Rhinolophus ferrumequinum: one gene and its partner. The protein of the gene in region 1 interacts with the protein of each later gene in a biochemical or structural test. Links are inferred from orthologs where the notes say so. Each region holds a gene or a part of one and is shown on either strand. Other genes may lie near its edges.

What was found.
Region 2: the proteins of FYB1 (region 1) and SKAP1 form a complex in vitro, tested with the Homo sapiens proteins (2 studies listed by BioGRID and IntAct, with this or other methods). The link is inferred for Rhinolophus ferrumequinum from reciprocal best matches to the Homo sapiens genes FYB1 and SKAP1.

Annotation. Positions count from the first base shown.
Region 1 is NC_046290.1:26,059,315-26,067,695, reverse strand, and holds the start of FYB1 (FYN-binding protein 1), read left to right. Parts: upstream 1-5,082; 5' UTR 5,083-5,180; coding exon 5,181-5,183; intron 5,184-8,381. UniProt on the Homo sapiens protein: Acts as an adapter protein of the FYN and LCP2 signaling cascades in T-cells. May play a role in linking T-cell signaling to remodeling of the actin cytoskeleton. Modulates the expression of IL2. Involved in platelet activation.
Region 2 is NC_046304.1:34,608,962-34,617,757, forward strand, and holds the start of SKAP1 (src kinase-associated phosphoprotein 1), read left to right. Parts: upstream 1-4,932; 5' UTR 4,933-5,062; coding exon 5,063-5,111; intron 5,112-8,796. UniProt on the Homo sapiens protein: Positively regulates T-cell receptor signaling by enhancing the MAP kinase pathway. Required for optimal conjugation between T-cells and antigen-presenting cells by promoting the clustering of integrin ITGAL on the surface of T-cells.

The DNA of each region.
Region 1 (8,381 bases):
TTGATTTGTGATTTTTTTTTACCATGTCCTAAAGTCCATCAGCCTGGAAGCAACAAGATAAAAGAGGGTCATGATGACATTGAATCATTTCACAAATTGTGTTCTAATAATTTTTTTCATAACTACATTATAAATATTCCTAAGTCCACCTATAGCATTATTAATAATATTAAGTTCAAAAATACTATAGAATTGAAAATTGAAGTATTCCTTTTTTTTTGACCAAAAGGAAAATCATTAGATTACACTCAAGGATGGATAACTTTGTATTAGAACATAAAATAATTATGTGTTTAAGTCAGTGTCCTGCCTAACAAATCTAAATTTGAGCAATAGAGTATGAAAAAGACTAAGGTTGAGTAATTTCTCAAGAGGTGACAATAGGGTAATTCTAAAGTATAAAAAAAAAAGAATCTCAAGGGAAAAATGTAAAATCTGGAAATATTTTCAAACTGACTATTTTTTCAAAAACTTGAAATCATATTCTAAAAGTTAAAAAAATAGCGTATGGCTTCCCAATATTTATTCTGTACTGAAACAAATATTCCTGTTTTAAAATTAGACAACAAATGAGGAAAATGAGTGTATTCACACCTGCAGTTAATTGACAATGGGAAAGAGAAAGAACTCAAGGAATGATGGAGTGATCCATTTTCCCTTTTGTCATCTTCTCTCAGTCTGTAAAATCCCAAGGCACATCTGTTATTTTCCAAACTTTCTGGCCTAATTTTCCTGTCAGGGAGGAAATTGGGAATGAATGAATGAATGAATGAATCCATTATTCATATAGGACATTTTATTTTTTGCATACATTAAAATACAAATTATCCTTAACAAATTGTTAAGCACAATGGCTAACCCAAATGAGGGTCTGTATTTTGATGATGTCAATTACATATTATCTTGGAAACCCAGTGAGGTAAAAGGATTACAACCTGGATTCTGCTTCTGAGGATAATATACAAGGAATGAAGTAAGAAGCCATGAGAAGAGAATAACAAAAGCCATGAAAGGAAAGTACAAGACTCAACAGACCCCACTGAGCATGTTGAGTCCCCAGAAACCCAAGATGAGGGTAAGATACAAATGACAGCAAAAATAGCAGAAGAAAGTAATAAGTAAATTAATATGTAACAGAATTCTTCTGTAAGCTTTGTTCTTTTTTTTTTTTCTTTGCTCTCCAAGTTAATCGGTTTGATGAAAGACTCCTTAAGTAAAGTTTAGGTCATTTTTCCATTTTTCTATGTCAACAGTGCTTTTAGAGTTCAGCAAACATTTGCCTGGGGTTGAGATTAAATTGTAAAGACATCTCTTCCCTGCCCTTGTATTTAAATACATTTTACTCATCCTGTTGAATATAGGTGGAACTCTCTTTCTATTGGAAGACAAGTTCATTTTGTACTAAAGTTGATTAATAAGTTATTTCTTCCAGAGTTTTGATGTTTTGATAGGGTTAAGGCCTCCTTTCCTCAAAAAATAGAGAGTATAAGAGAAAAAATCCATTTTATTTTCAAAATAAAAAGTGAAAGAGAAATAAGCCAAGTCAAGGATCTGCCCATTTCCTCCTGCACATTTTTAAGTATGCCTGTTCATATCCTGCTGTCTTCCTGCCACTTTCCATTTGGCTATTCCATATCTATCCAAGCAGGGAGAGTAGAATTTCCTTGAATTGCTATGAGTCTACTTTGTAAATTTGAGTTGTTCTTTGCTGGCACAGTTCAAAAGCATGTTGATAAAATGAGTCAAGTTTACAAAATAATGAAGTTTTAGCTGACTGGTTTCCTAGTCTGAAAATTGGGAGGGTCACTTAACATTTCTGGCTTTAATTTCATAATCAAAGAGCAGCAATATAGTAACTATCTCCTAGTGTTTGACAACATTTTAACCAAAAAGTCACCTACAGCTTTCCATAAAGGGAGGAAAGCTTTCAAGAAAGGGAGGCTGTGTACATGCAGAATTAGTGTGCAAGGTGTGTATTGCTTTTATCAGATTCTGAAAAGAACCCATGAGCCAAAAAAAAAAAAGAAAAAAAGGTTTAAAAAAATAAAAGCTGCTCTCTGATCTCAAGGTGACAGAAGGAAGTATGAAAATTAACTCACACCAGAGGAGTTTCAAATCAACTTAGGGAGCAATATTTAAATGCAGCTGGTACAATGGGAGAACTATAAAGAGCAAACATATCAAAGACCTTTGTTTCGTGGTGCAGTCTGCAGGAGTCCAGAAAAATGGGGAGATGAATGAGCAAGAAACAGGGAAGGCTTCCTGGAAGAGGTGAGACTCCTCCCCCTGTTCTCCTATCTCAAGTGTCTTATCCAAGCGTGTTTGCGTTGGGCACTTAAAGAAGATGATTTTGTTTCTTCTCTAAAATGTTAGCCGTTCATATTATAAGGCAGAAATAGTGTACGAATATTTCTAACACTCTGTGCTAACAATTTTAACCATGCTCTTTTTAAAGCTGATAGATATAACCCTGATGATACTGCTGAACAATGATCAGTAAGTAGTGGTACTTAAATTTTCATTAGTGGTATCTCCACCCATTTTCCTGTAAATTGACCTTAAAAAAGGAAACTGGTTTCTGCCCACCACCCGCTGTCTCTGGACTTCAGTCTCCACAAGCTGTCGCCTTCAGTGAGTTCCAAAGGGACAGAGTGATTTTACCATTGCCTAAACAAAAACAGTTTTGTAGAATGCAAACGTTTGAAAAGAGAATCCATGCCCAAGTATTTGAGGAACTCCAATCGCTTTTGCACTCTCTGAAGTACTTCTTCTTTCCATAGCAGGAGTAATTGCAGTGACCACACCATGAAAATATAACTTTATCTTCTTTAGATGGTATTACTATATTGTCTGTCGTTATTGCATTTCCTGTTTCATCTTCCTGCTCAGGAACTTATGCACTTAGTTGCCTTTACAGAAAATGTTCTAACATATGTGATATTTGAAATAATTTTTTAAAGTAAAGTGATCATGCTCCAAAAACTAAAAATATAAACTTATTGGTGGATTATGAGTTATGGTTGGGAGCTTCAGCCCTTACTTGTTTTTTTCTTAGGCAAAACACATCTCTTAAATGTATGTTTTTGTGAGACTGCTGAATTTATGTCAGTGACAAGTAAAAATTACCTTAATCTGCATTTAGAAATAAGCAGAAATTGAAATGGAATTCAAGTGAAAGAATTGAACTTTGAAGTTCTCTTAACCAAAGACTTGTCCAGGTAGTTACATTGTTAATGGAAATTGCTAGATTTTCTCTGTCGTGTAATTTTTGTGCAACTTACTTATACAGAGTGAAAATTATAGAATAATGAAGAATTGGTAATTATTATGTAGTGCATGATGAAAATAGGTTGATAAACCTAGTAGTAAACAGTGACCGAGTGACAGAATTATTTCTACCTGCAAATCTGGCCTGGTGACCTGTTCCCATCTCACTAGTATGAGTCAACTGCTCCTCCTTTTAGAGCCCAGCACCCTGAAATCACTTAGGGAACTTTAAAAAATACTGATGCCAGGATCTCAAAACTAGAGATTATTATTTGATGGTCTGGAGTAAAGTCTGGGAACAGGGAATTTAGAAAACTTCAGATGATGTTCTTGCAGAGCCAGGTTGACAGCCCCAGCTATAGACCCTAAGATGTACTTTCATTGTGATCATCTCTATTCCAGCCAATAGTGAATAAGAGACATTCTGGTTAAACTAAAGAATACCTCCATTTTAAGGTCTTCTTCTGGCAATGTTTTACATCTACTAGCATGCCTGGTTCCCAGAGCTGTCTTGCCTTGAACTTTCTCCCTCACTCATTCATTGTACATGTGTTATGTGCCAAAGACTGTGCAATTTCAAGTGACTGACCACCCTCCCAGTTCCTGACTACTCCTCAAGCCCCAAACTGCTTTCAAATATCTACAAGTCTCAGGGCAGTGTCAGGATCTTTTCTATCCCTGAAACTTGCCCTTGCCCTGCCTTCTTGCCTCGTCCTGGCAATGATTCTATCCATATGTCTTGCTACACCTTGATTTTCAAAAACATTTTCACTTGAAGGAATACATAATAAGGAACATCTTTTTTAATAAAGGATTTTGTATTGTCATGGTAGTAAGTAGTATTAGCCAATTATCAAATGAAGAAATTAGGTGCCCCTCTACTAGATAAATTTGGTAGTATTTACAAGAAGATCTAAAAATTTGCAACCCCAAGTTAAGGAATCAGTTGACATTCCTTTGCAATAGGAAACAAAGATGATCTTCTGCCCTTGAAATTACTCTAGTATCAGACAATATATCAAAATAAAGGAGATAAATCCATGTACCAGAACACATTTAGATAGGTACAGTTGATTCGTGGGAAATCTGACTACTCAGGATCAAATGCCATGGCCTTAGCTCAAGAATATCTAGATTAACAGTATGAGGGATTGAGGCTAACAAAAAGTGCTAAAAAATTAACACACGAACCTAGATTGAAAGTACTTTATATTTTTAATGAAATGAATGTCATCTATGATAAGCTTGTGATTATTTCCATCTTTTAAATATTGGCTAGATTGGTTTAAATATATTTGGAATTGGTGATTAAAATAATCATGATCCTTTGGTTCTTTTAAGATTATAGTTGTTTTTAAGAAGCACTATATACTCAAAATAGAAAAGTCAAAAACTCAGCAAAGCACAAAACAAGAATTAGGTTTAATAATACTTCCACCCAAGTCAATCACTGTTAACATTTTGGAGTGGGCCCTTCATTCATAGCTAGATGACAGGTAGATGGTAGACATAGATAGATAGATGATAGATAGGTGATGATAGATAGATAGATAATAGATCCACAAATACAGACTTTATATAAAAAACAGGCTAATAATGTACACAGAATTTAATATTCAGACACATTAAAAAAATCTTGTGTCAACTTTCCGACTTCAAAACTTCACCTGTAGCTTTTCTCATATTATTAAAGTGTAATAACTCAATAAACCTGGCCAGTTATACAAATGTTCTGAGGGCTAAGATAAATAACATGCAAATAAACCTTACATATCAATGTGTGAAAAGCTGGACAGACCACACAGCTCAAAAAAGGAAGTACACTCTGCAAAGTTAACTTGCACATTCACTGTCCAAGTTACAGCATCTTCGGGGTCGCTCTGTGCCAAGCACATCAACTCTTTTCAATAAAAATGGTAAGTGATCGATTTTATGGCTCTCCCTGGTCTCCTGGAAAATATCTAATCTTCTCTCCATGGAGCAGAGGGGTGGGGGTGCTTTACAGCCAGGTCTTCAAGCCTTGGGAATTTTTGCCTGCCCCATTGTTGTTCCATTTGCTATTAAAGCTGCTGGGTTTTTATTATACCAGTTGAGAGACTGTGGCTTCAGGAGTTCCTTTTTCTGATTCTAGCCTTTAAAATAGAGGAAGAAATAGTGAATAAGAGAGATTCTGGTTAAACTAAAGAATGCCTCCATTTTAAGGTCTTCTTCTGGCAATATGCCCTACAGAAAGAAAACTTGTACTTTCTTGCCTTTGCCTCTTAAGATAGCTGGGTGCCATAGGGAGCAACGTATTGAAATTTCCTATTATGAACACTTTGGATCCTAGAGGAGAGCTCCAATGATATGCATCCGGTAATATTGTGATGATGAGTGCCATTTTGACCACACAGTAGATTTTTTAAAAAGGGAGCTCTTTTGTTTAAAAAATACGTTTTATTATTTTAATTAAGAGAAGCAAACAAAGCCCAAATAGTTCAAACCATAGGGACAGGTTTTCGTTCCCGAAGTTAATTAAAAGCCATTATTTAGAGCATACTTAAAGTTGTGCCTGGGTTCCCAGCTGTACCATAAAAACGAGCTTAACCTGTAATGTAGCTGAGCTACAGCATTAATATTCTGCTACATAGTTTCTTATTACTTCTCTGTAAAAATTGGCTGTGTTCTTAATACATGTGGTATACTTATGCTCCCAGTCTAGAAGAGAGCCAACTGTCCATCCCACACACACCCTTCCCCAGCCCCCAGAAACCTGGAGATTGGTTATTCCTTCTCTCATTATGGAGAGGATCACTTCCTTTGGCAGCTCCCAATGAGAAGATGTGAACTGAGACCATGACTCCTACTCAGGGGGAGGGATTGCACTGCAGGCATTGGAATAGAGAGGACAAAGCATTCATGGGTTGTGTTTGTAGGCTGGAAGCTCTTGAGCCAGATTGGGGAAGTGTAGAGGTGAGAGAGTGTCACCTTGCCATAGAAGAGAGAGTGAGGAGAAGGAAGAGAGACGGGGTCAGAGTTTCAGAGTCATAGGGGAGAAGAATGCATAGTGGTGAAGAAAATCGTAGCACATGACCCTCCCTAGCCATACCTGTAAGAGGAAGGCAGTCACTTATCAAGGTGGGGCTTACAAGTCTCTATTATTTCCAAACTGGGTCTTTAGGCCCAGGATTCTTAGAAAATAGCTTGACCTTAATTACTGATACCCTCTTCAATAATAAACAAGGTCTTTGTGGATTAAAAGAGTTATTTGGATTTTCTTGGGGCAAACAAGATGATAATAGCAGGTAGAAAAAAAGTTTAACTGGATAGTGTATGTTTGCTGTAATACATAAGCACTTTCTTATGTATAACATAATACATAATCGCTTTCTTAAGAGATTGTCACTTTCTTATTATAAAAAGAACACATTATTAAAGAAAATTTCTTAGAAATATAGATATGTAGAAATAAAACAATACAAATTTTCTATCACCTAGGGGACAATCATTGTTCAGTTAGTACCAGTTCTAGAATTTCGGCACTTTAAAATATATTTTACAAATATAATTTTCTATACTTTATAAACCATTTTCTTATCTGATTTTTTATTTAAATATTTTGAAAAATATCTGAGTTATATATTATTTCTAATGATAAATGATTTTTAATTGCAGTGTAGTATTCCATAATTTATTTTAATTGTTTCAATATATGTGGACATTTTGGCTTCTTATTTTATTTTTCCTCCTTCATGGTAATACAGACAAGAATGTCACAATCATTTTTTATATACATTGTCTGATTATTTTTCTTTTTTTCTGCCTTTTTAAAAGATTTTTATTAAAATATAGCTAACATACAATATTATATTAGTGAACTATGCAGTTATTACCACATTATTGGTTATATTCCCTATGCTAAAGAAGTGATCACCATTAGTCCAGGAACGATCTGACATTGTACCACACTAACACAATATTATTGACTATATTTCCTATTCTGTATATTACATCCCCAAGACTTATTTGTTTTACATCTGGAACTTTGAACCTCATTCTTCTTTATCTTCCCTCCCTTTTTTTTAATTTTTCAATTAGAGTTGACACCCAATATTATTTTATATTAGTTTCAAGTGTACAGCATAGTGGTTAGATATTTATATAATTTAGGAAGTGATCCCCCTGTCTAGTACCTACCTGTCCCTATAGTTATTACCATATTATTGATTATATTCCCTGTAGTTTACATCCCCATGACTATTTTGTAACTACTAATTTGTATTTCTTAATCTCTTCAACTTTTTCACCCTGCCCCTAACCCCTCTCATATCTATCACCCCGACTGATCTAGTACCCATCTGACACCATACATAGTTATTATGATATTATTTATTATATTCCTTACGCTATACCCTACACCCCTATGACTACTGTGTAACAACCAATTTGTACTTCTTAATCCTTTCCCCTTTTCACCTATCCCTAAGCCCCCTTCCATCTGGCAACCAATAAAATGTTCTCTATATCTATGAATTTGTTTCTGTTTTGTTTATTTATTTTGTTCTTCAGATTCCACTTGTAAGTAAAATCATATGACATTTGTCTTTTGCTGTCTGACTTACTACAGTCAGCACAATACCTTCTAAGTCCATCCATGTTATCGCAGATGGCAAGATTTCATTCCTTTTTTACAGCTGAGTAATATTCCATTGTATATATGTACCACCTCTTCTTTATTCATTCATTCATTCATTCAGGGACACCCAGGTTTCCTTCATATCTTGGCTATTGTAAATAACGCTGCAATGAACATATGGATGAGCACGTCACCTGGAAGTAGCATTTTGGGTTTGTTCAGATAAATACCCAGAAGTGGGATTACTAGGTCCTTCTTTGTCTCTTGTTATAGGCTTTGTTTTAAAGTGTGTATTGTCTGGTATAAGTATTGCTACCCCAGCTTTTGTTTGTTTGTTTGTTTCTTTGTCTCCATTTTCATGAAGTATCTTTTTTCATCCTTTTAGTTCCCATCTGTGTGTATCTTTCCATCTGAAGTGAGTCTCTTGTAGGCAGCATATGTAAGGGTCTTGTTTTCTTATCTATTCAGCTCCCCCACCTTTTGATTGGAGGATGTAATC
Region 2 (8,796 bases), on another chromosome or scaffold:
GCCAGACATTTCTGTCAGATTCTAAGTCACTGACCCTTCTCTCAACTTAATTCCCTTACCTCAACGCTGAATTCTAAGACCTGTAGAAAAAGGGAGGGAAAAGAAAGGGCAGAAATAAAGGAAGGGGCTTAGGGAGCTTAAACTTTTACCTTTGGAAAAACAGATGAAAGGAAACCAAAGAAAGCCATTTCAACCTTAGAAAATTGCTATCCTTCTATTATTTACCTTTAATCTCCTTAAGCACACCCAAAGAAATGGTTATTCCTTTTAGATAGTTTTCCAAAGTTATCATGTCTGCGAACATCTAGCCTATAAAATCCGCCTTGACCTCACCTGCTTCCTGTGCAGATTAACCCCATAGACGGCCCCACACCTCACTTGGAGTGCACAGCCTCATCTGGCTACAGCTGACACATTCTGCATGTCAACCCCTCCCCTTCAGATTCCCAAGAGAACCAATCAAAGGCGGAGAATGTCAGAGTCAGCAACCTCTTCCGTCTTCAGGGCCTCTGCTGGGCCCAGCAGTGCCCAAGGGGGATGTCTAATGTGGTCTAAGGGATAGGCAAAGAAGATACAAAAAAAAAAAAAGTGACTAAGGAATGCAGGGAAAAATAATAAGGGAACTGATAGAAAGATAAGATAAAGAACAAAGAAAGAGGTGTTACTCTTTAGATGGAGGGGGACCAACAGGATTGCTTCACAGAGCTGCTCAGTGATACCTGGGCTGTAATTATCCATCTCCGGTGTTCAGTTCTACAAGAGCTTTGGACCAGTGTTAGGGAACCAGGATTCTAATGCCAGTGCAGCCCCTGGTGAGCTGGGTGGCCCCCTGAGCAGAACACTGACTGGGTCTGTTCCTCATCTTGAATTTGATCACCTTGAAGATTTGAGTTTTAATAGTCCTTGTTCGGTTCTGAGCCTGTGCTTTATAGAGAACCTGCTTTGGGAATAGTCCTTAATATGATATGAGAACCTGCTCGTTTTGTTGTATTAGTGCAGAGAATCTAGGAGTGTGATCTGGAAGGGGGAGAACATCGAAGTGCATTTATGTGAGTGTATGCATAATAGGACCCTTTTAAGTTGAAAGTTTAGCTAATTAGTAAGAGCAAGGCTTCTGGCAAGCTGTGGAAACCTGCAATTTAAAGCCACTGAAGCGATGTGCCCAACTGAGCATCTTGCGTTCGTCTCCTCTCCCTCAGGTGGCATGAGGCCCGGTTTCTGAGGCCTTGCAGAGCTGCAGTGAGCCTGGTACTTGGCACTGGCAGGATGCATCATCTCTCTTTCCACAGCCCTTAATGAAGTGTGCAGCTCTTGTCCTCATTAGGCCCCAACATCGTCAATAAAAGAGTCAATAAACCCGGTTGATGGGGCTGGGACTGAGGGGCTGAGAGGCAGTGGCCGCACTTCCAAAGGGCAGACGTCAGCTCCACCGCATGTCGTGACCCAGCATCCAGGGATCAATAGCCAGCTCGGAATAAAGCCCAAGAGCCTGCCCGCTGCAGTCTCCTCTCCAGACCCATTTCGTCCAGGGCAGAGCAATGCCAGCCGGCCCCTGCTTTGCTTGCAGTTGTTCCCACCCCATGCCATTCTGGGTGCCAGATGCTTTTGTTGCTTCCTGATTAAGCCCTCTGGATACCCAATGGATGCATATTTAGTGAGTGCCCACCTGGCATGAGAACATGTCGATGGCAACTCCAAGCAGCCCAGAGGCTGGCATGGGCCCTGTTTTCTGTGTCTTCTGTCTGCTGACAGTGTGTGAGGGGCCCCGGGAGGCCAGGAGGTATATTTTCTGCATGTTGTGCTGCAGGACTCCATTCCTGCCTGCTTTGCATCTCTTTAGATACCCTTATCTTATCTAATTACAAGGAATTCCAGCTTAATTTCATGGCCTCTGCTCCAGAGGACCTCTTATCTGCGAGGGCCTTGTATTTTAACCTTGTCATTCATTTGTTGTTTGCCTTTAAGGGCCAGGCAGCTAAGAAGAGGATGCTAAGATGTTACTGGAATTGGGGCTGGGGGGAGGGGAAGAAGAGGGAGGCAGACAGACCTGGGATTTGTGTATTCTGCTCCATCCCCTTGCCTGTGTGCAGAGACAGCTGGCTGCTTACTTTCATGACAGCCACATGGTACCCAGCCACACAGAACAGGACCCGGGCAGGGACTCGTCTGCTGCCAACCTCTCCAGATCCCTTTGATATTTCCGACAGAGCACTAAAGGACTCTTGACTATCACGTTTTGCCTTGCCTCTTTCTACCTCCTCTAAGACTCCTCTGTGTGGTTTCCATGGCTACCCCCAATCAGATTTGGCTTCCTTCGAAATTGGATTTCAAAGAAAGACAAGGCTTCAAAGGAATTTGTCCATTTAACAGAATGTCATTAGGAGTGAGGCTGACTGCTGAACCAGGGTCCTCAGATGATTAAGGAGGGGTTGCGCTCATGTGTGGAGGCAGGTTTCTCTCTGCAATGAGGAACCTTGATGCAACATGACAATGCCGTATTGGAATCTGCCAGTCACCCACTGCACACTACCCAACACTGCACCTCCCTCTACCTCTAAAACCTAAAATGGATGTAGAATACCTGCTCCACAAGTTTATGCCGCATCCCTCAGTATAAGTAAGCTATGACAGGTAGTGAGGCCTAGGAGGTGTGCAATTACCTGGGTTTATTGCTCCTATCAAGCAACTCATTAGCTTGTAGCCTATTTTAGCATCTGACAAATATCCTTGAAGAAGAGGGGGAGGTTGTCAAAGTTCCTACTATTGCTGAGAGGGAAATCAAGGAAAAGTGCTGGGGTTACATATAGGAAGGACGTTGTTTCCCCTGCTGTGTTTTAGAATAGTTTTAGGTTTAGAGAAAAATTGCAACGATAGTCCAGGAAGTTCCAATATATCCTTTCTTGCTTTTTAAACACATGTCAGAAGTACTCAAAAATGATTCCAGAGCAGCTACAATTTTATAGCAGGAGCAGTGAGTGTGGTAAAAATGCCCCAGCAGGGACCTACCTGGTATTTGCTCTGAAGCCTGGAGGAGGCAGCCTTCCCATCGTTAACTTTCCCACAGCAAGAAGGAGGAATTGCAGGAGCTAGACTCCCGAGAGACTCCTACCAGCCTCTGTCCCTCTGCCCCCACCCCAATATGCTGCAACTTATGCGTGTGTCATGTGACCCTGAAACCAAGGCACCGCACCATATCTCTTCAGATCTCAGGGTGCAGACATGTAAAGATGGCTCAACGCCACTGCACCTGGTAAAGGATCCAGCCTCCAACCTCGAGACTTTATCTCTGGAGGGGAAACTATGCCAGGAAGCAGGCACTGCTACCATGTGTCCTTCTGGACAATTTCTCTTTGCTGCTCCTCTCCCATATCCAGCCTCCAACCTCGAGACTGTATCTCTGGAGGGGAAACTATGCCAGGAAGCAGGCACTGCTACCATGTGTCCTTCTGGACAATTTCTCTTTGCTGCTCCTCTCCCATATCCGTGGTTTCATTCATCATTCTTTCCCCTGAGGCTGCTGTAAAAACCACTTCACCCATCTTCCCTGTGTCCTCTCTCTTACCACTCCCAATCCTTCCCACATGTTCTGTATGTAGAGTCTGAGAACAGAAACTCCACTTTTCACAAAGAAGGAAAAAGATAGAGGTGAAGTGAGATGTGGGAGATCACACATGATACAGGGACTCAGGTTAGGGCGCTCCCTGGCTCAAAATTTGTCAGTGGCTCCCTAGTGCCCACTCAATTGATGTCAGTCAAAATCCTCATTCTGACTTCCAAGTCCCTTCACATTAGAGCTTCCATTTTTCTTGACAACTGTAATTTCCCTATACCATCCAGTAAAAGAGGGTTATTAACTGTTCCTCGAGCAGGAGGAGGCTTTTCCACCTTTACTTACTCTGGGTTCTTCCACCTGGAAAGTCTTTCTGCCTCTTCAAGTCTGTGGTGTTCAGAGCCCATCTCAAATGCCATTCAACACACATACACGACACTTCCCTTCTTTTCTTATATCCGACTCCCTCCTTTTATAGCCTGTGGCACTTTATACTTTTTGCATGGCACTTGGCCCATTGCACCTTTTAAAAAAATGAAGTCTATTTTGAGATAGCAGCATATTCACAGAACGTATGAGAAATGACACGGAGCCATCCTGTTTACCCAGTTTTGCCCAATGGTGACATCTTGCAATATTACAGTAGTATCACAACCAGGACATGGACACCTGCTCTGTGAATGAGGGAGAGAACCCTTATCTGTGATCTTGTCCTTCACTTTCCTCCCTTTGTCAGTTCTTAGAGGGAGGGGGCTCAGTTGCCCCTCCCTCAGCTTTCTCCCCAGGTCACCTCTTCTTTTCCTCACATCCTTTCAGCCTTAGAGAGGAAGCGAGACTTTGGTTTCCTGTGTCCATCGCGCTGATTCTCCCAAATGTTAGTGACTTTTAGTATTTCTTGGGATTTACGGTCATTCCCGTTAAACATCCTGATTTGCCTGAAACAGCGAATGTTCTGCGCTGGTTTCTGGGTGTGGATGTGCGAACTGGATCCGGAACTGAGTGCTGCTAGGCTTGGTGGGGACCTCGGATTCTGTGCCCCACGCCCCTTCTGGGGCACCACCGTGGCTTTCGCACCAGCCCCTTGAGGCCAGTTGTTCAGTGCTTAGGATGCGAAGTCTCCGAGAGACAAGGTTCCCTGGAGTCGCGTTTAGTCTTTTGTTTTGGTGGGAGGTCTAGAGCCGCACCGCTTGGGCCCTGCCTGGTGTGGCATCCCGCGATCTTTCTCCCTCCGGGCGCCTGCGGGAATGGCGTGTGCACGGCGAACAGGTGTCTCCCCGTCGCCCCCCACCCCCAGCCCCCGCCTGTCCCGGGTGCCCCCGCCCGCGAGCGCCACTTCCTGAGCGCAGCCCCGCCCTGCGGCGCAGCCCCGCGGCGTCCGCGGCGGCGGTGGCGACAGAGGTACAGGTGCCTTCGCCGTGCCGCCCACGCCTTGCCGTCGGTCCGCCGGCCTCTGCACCAGGCCTTCACGGCCGCTCTCCTGCCACACACTCGGCCTCCCCTCCGCCCCAGCAAATGCAGGCCGCCGTCGTCCTCCCCGAGGAGATCCGTTGGCTCCTGGCAGGTAACGCCCTGGCCCTCCGGGAAGTCCCTCCAGTGCTGAGCTGAGGGCAGGAAAGGAGACGCCAGCGCCTCCCAAGGCTGGGCTTTCTTTTCATCACTCACCACCTTCTAGAACCTCAAGGCTTTTAGAGTCCTCAACCCTGCAAAGCCAGATTTTCCTCCTCCTACCTCAGGGGCTCTTGCACTCCCCTCAGTTCCGCACTTTCTTTTTTCTCAAGGCGTCGCCACCGCTCCACTTAGCCTCCCAGGCTTCTGAACAACCGCAGGCCAGGTTCGTGGTCCCCGCTCCACGCCACCTGGCCTGACCTTTAATCTGTCTCTTTTTCCTTACGATGATTTCCTCAGGCCTGTCCGTTTGTACCCTCCTCCCTCCCCAATTCAGGACTCTCACCATCTCTCACAGAAGACCCTCACCCTCTTGCTTAGAGGTCCCTGAGGCCCTCAAGGGGATTGTGAGGGGCTCATGGGATCCTGTGGCCAAGGCTTGGGGGTTAATGAGTTTGTGTCAGCGCCAAAACCCCTGGCTTCCCTCTCTGCCAGCCTGCAGTCTTCTGGGGACTCATTATCCGCCCAGGGCAGGCTGACCCTCAGTATCCCATTTTTTCTTGTTCTAGAAGTGCCCCACTGGTGTGTTCACCTGCAAACTCAAGTGCCTAAGCGGGGAAGGCCATACTCACACTCAACACATCTTCCTAACACTCCAAAGAGACTTGTACTAATGGGCAATAGCATCTGCTCAGTTCACACTTTTTTTTTTTTTGGTGAAAGTAACCTGTTTTCCTGTAACTGACCTTCTTGAAAAGACAGAGGCCTGGAATCTGTGCTGCCATAAGGGTCCCGGGAGGAAAGTCAGAACTAAGCCTTTTGGCATGTCAGTGACATTTTTGACATGTATTTAACAGATGGCCTGCTTTGGGCAGGTCATACTTTTGGCAAGCAGTAATTTTTTCACTTTCTCTGGATTTAATTGGTTTTTGTACCTCCATTACTTTGTTATCTTGGTATAAATGCCTCCTAATCAAATATTTGGCAAGTCCTTTTAGTCTCTGTTTGCATCATTGTTTCCATTCAGGACTGTTTCTGTGTAAAAGCTGTCAACTAGATATTTATTTTGAGGTGAACTTTCCAAAATCTGTTTTACTTCTATGACCCGAGTAAATGTAAAATTTCAGAGCAGAAAAGTGTCTGCAGGTTAAAAGAATATCATTTGGGTATCTGAGAAGAAACCATCCAGCCTTCCCTCTGCTGTTGATTCAATATTCATTGTGTAGAGAGGCTGTTAAGTGTGGTTTCCCGGAAAGAAGGAACTGTGGCAAAAAGTTTAATTCTGCCCTTGCATTTAAAGATACAAAGTGATTCTTTTTATTGGTATCTGTCATTTGATGAGAGGAAACCTATTTTACAAGCTCGTTAAACTACACTTCTGTTTTGTGTGCAGCCTCCGTAGAAAATTCCTTTTTATTTTCAGAGACTTGCAATGAAATCCTCTCCTTCGACATTTTTGATGTGCAGTTCTTTATTGTTCAAAACTGACACTTTGGTAAACAACTCATTTCTGCACCTGCCACCTTCCTTTAGCTTAGATTATTTTCTTGTTAGCTGACTGGTTTTAATTGAAGTCTTCAGATCTCCTTCTAAAGCAGAACCTTTGTTTGCTGACAAGTAGAGCAGGGTATGAATGGAGATTAATCGTGTGTCACATACTTCTGTATCAAACTTGCTGTGTTTTAACAATCTCCGCTGGTGCTCTGGTCTTTAGAATATATGGAAGAGTCTGAGATTAAATTTTAAGGAACTTCATTAGTTAATGTATTTCTTGAAGGCCTTTAAAAAAAGTTTGCAATTAGAGTTTGAATCTGAAACAGAGAAAAAAATGTAAAGGTAGGATTCAACCAACAATTCTATTGAAAAATGTTTAAAAAATATGTTTCTGAAAGGTTCATGTAATCATAGCAACATATTGGTTATAGGCTTTGGTTTTTATGGAACACTGTCTCTGGCCTAGACCAGCAGAATTACTCATTGTACTACAAATTGTGGATATTAGAAACCCATAATTGCTTTCAATTTAGCGTATGTTGCTGTTTACTTGTTTCTCCCCTCACATACTTTTTAAGGTTGACTGTTGACAATTAGAAAATATGTAGGTCCTGATCTCTATATCATCACTCAGTGGAGGGAGTTACAGGGTGAGAGGGCTGTCACTTTAGTGCTGCCACATGGCCGTGGGGGTGGAGTTTCCACAATGAATTACTGTTTTCATAAACCAAGGCACAAGCATTTGCACAGTGATTTAATGTGGGCCATCACAGCCATAACTTAAGCATTTATTTAATTATAACTACATGGGCATAAGTGACGGGTGTTTTTGACATAATGGGTGTGCTTTAAACAATAAAATATGCAAAAATTTGTGAAAGGTTTATGCCAAAATTTTGTATAATGAAGAAGGGAGCAGAAATTCTGGTCTAAAATTAATTTTGTTTGAGGATAAAATTTTAGACATTTCAAAATATTTCATTCAACCCAGAAACTCCACTTCTAGGAATCTGTGTTACTGAAATTAAAGGACATGAAACATATATAAAGATCCGTCCTTAATATCCGTGAGTTGGGAAAGGTGGGGCAATGGTATGAATGAATTATTCATCTTAGGGAATATTTTGCAGCCATTAAAAAAGATGTGATGGTTATGGATGATGTGATACAGAATTGCACACCTGAAATCTATGTAATTTTACTAACAATTGTCACCCCAATAAATTAAAAAAAAAAGATGTGATGGATAGGCTTAGAAAATATCCATAACATATTTTTAAGACTAAAAAACAAGGTGTACGATAATATATATAACATCCCATTTTTGTCTGAAAAATGTTTGTGCAATCCTAGGAAGAAGAAAGAAAGAATATACACTAAGCTGTTAACATTGGTTTCCTTGGGAGGGGAGTGAGAGGGTGGAAGAGAGAGATTATTAACTATATTTCATATATCTTTGTGTTTTTTGAATTGTGACAATGGCCAAGTAATGATTTTGTAATCAGGAAAAAACAACCAGGAAGGTTATTTTAAAGAAAAAGGAACAAACAAAAGACAAATAGAAGCTTGGAGAGGTCAGAGTGCTAAAGGGCCATTAACCAAGATTGTGATTATATTTTTCTGTTGTTAGGCCTGGAGGTGTATGTGTGGAATTAAAAAAAAAAAATCCTTTCTTGGATTTTTGGCAAGTGTTAAAGCATTGAGAGACTACTAGTATAACTCAGGAAACAGCTTCCTCAGATAGACTGTCAAGCTCTCAAATAGAAATAGTAACTAGTCTGTATCAGCAAATAAGTACCTTATAGATAAGTAAAATGAAGGGCATTTACTGCATTATTGAAACAGGAGGAAATATTCAGGGCTGTTTTCAAATAATCAGGCTTCAGATGTAGAGGCTATCTTTTTGTTTTTGTTTTGTGATAACCATGATGAAAATAAAAACAATGGAGTGCTGGCAGTTTGCATAATCTTTGTTCCACAGATATAAACACAATCAGTTTCTTCCTTGTCTTTCTAGTCCTGCATTTGAAGTCAGAAGCACAGGAGACAAGTAGGAAGGAGGGAGAATAAATATTTCTTTGGCTCACAGTGTGTCCTGTGTGAAGGAATGGGGTCTATTGTCTTTACCCTAATAGTTGATAGGGCCC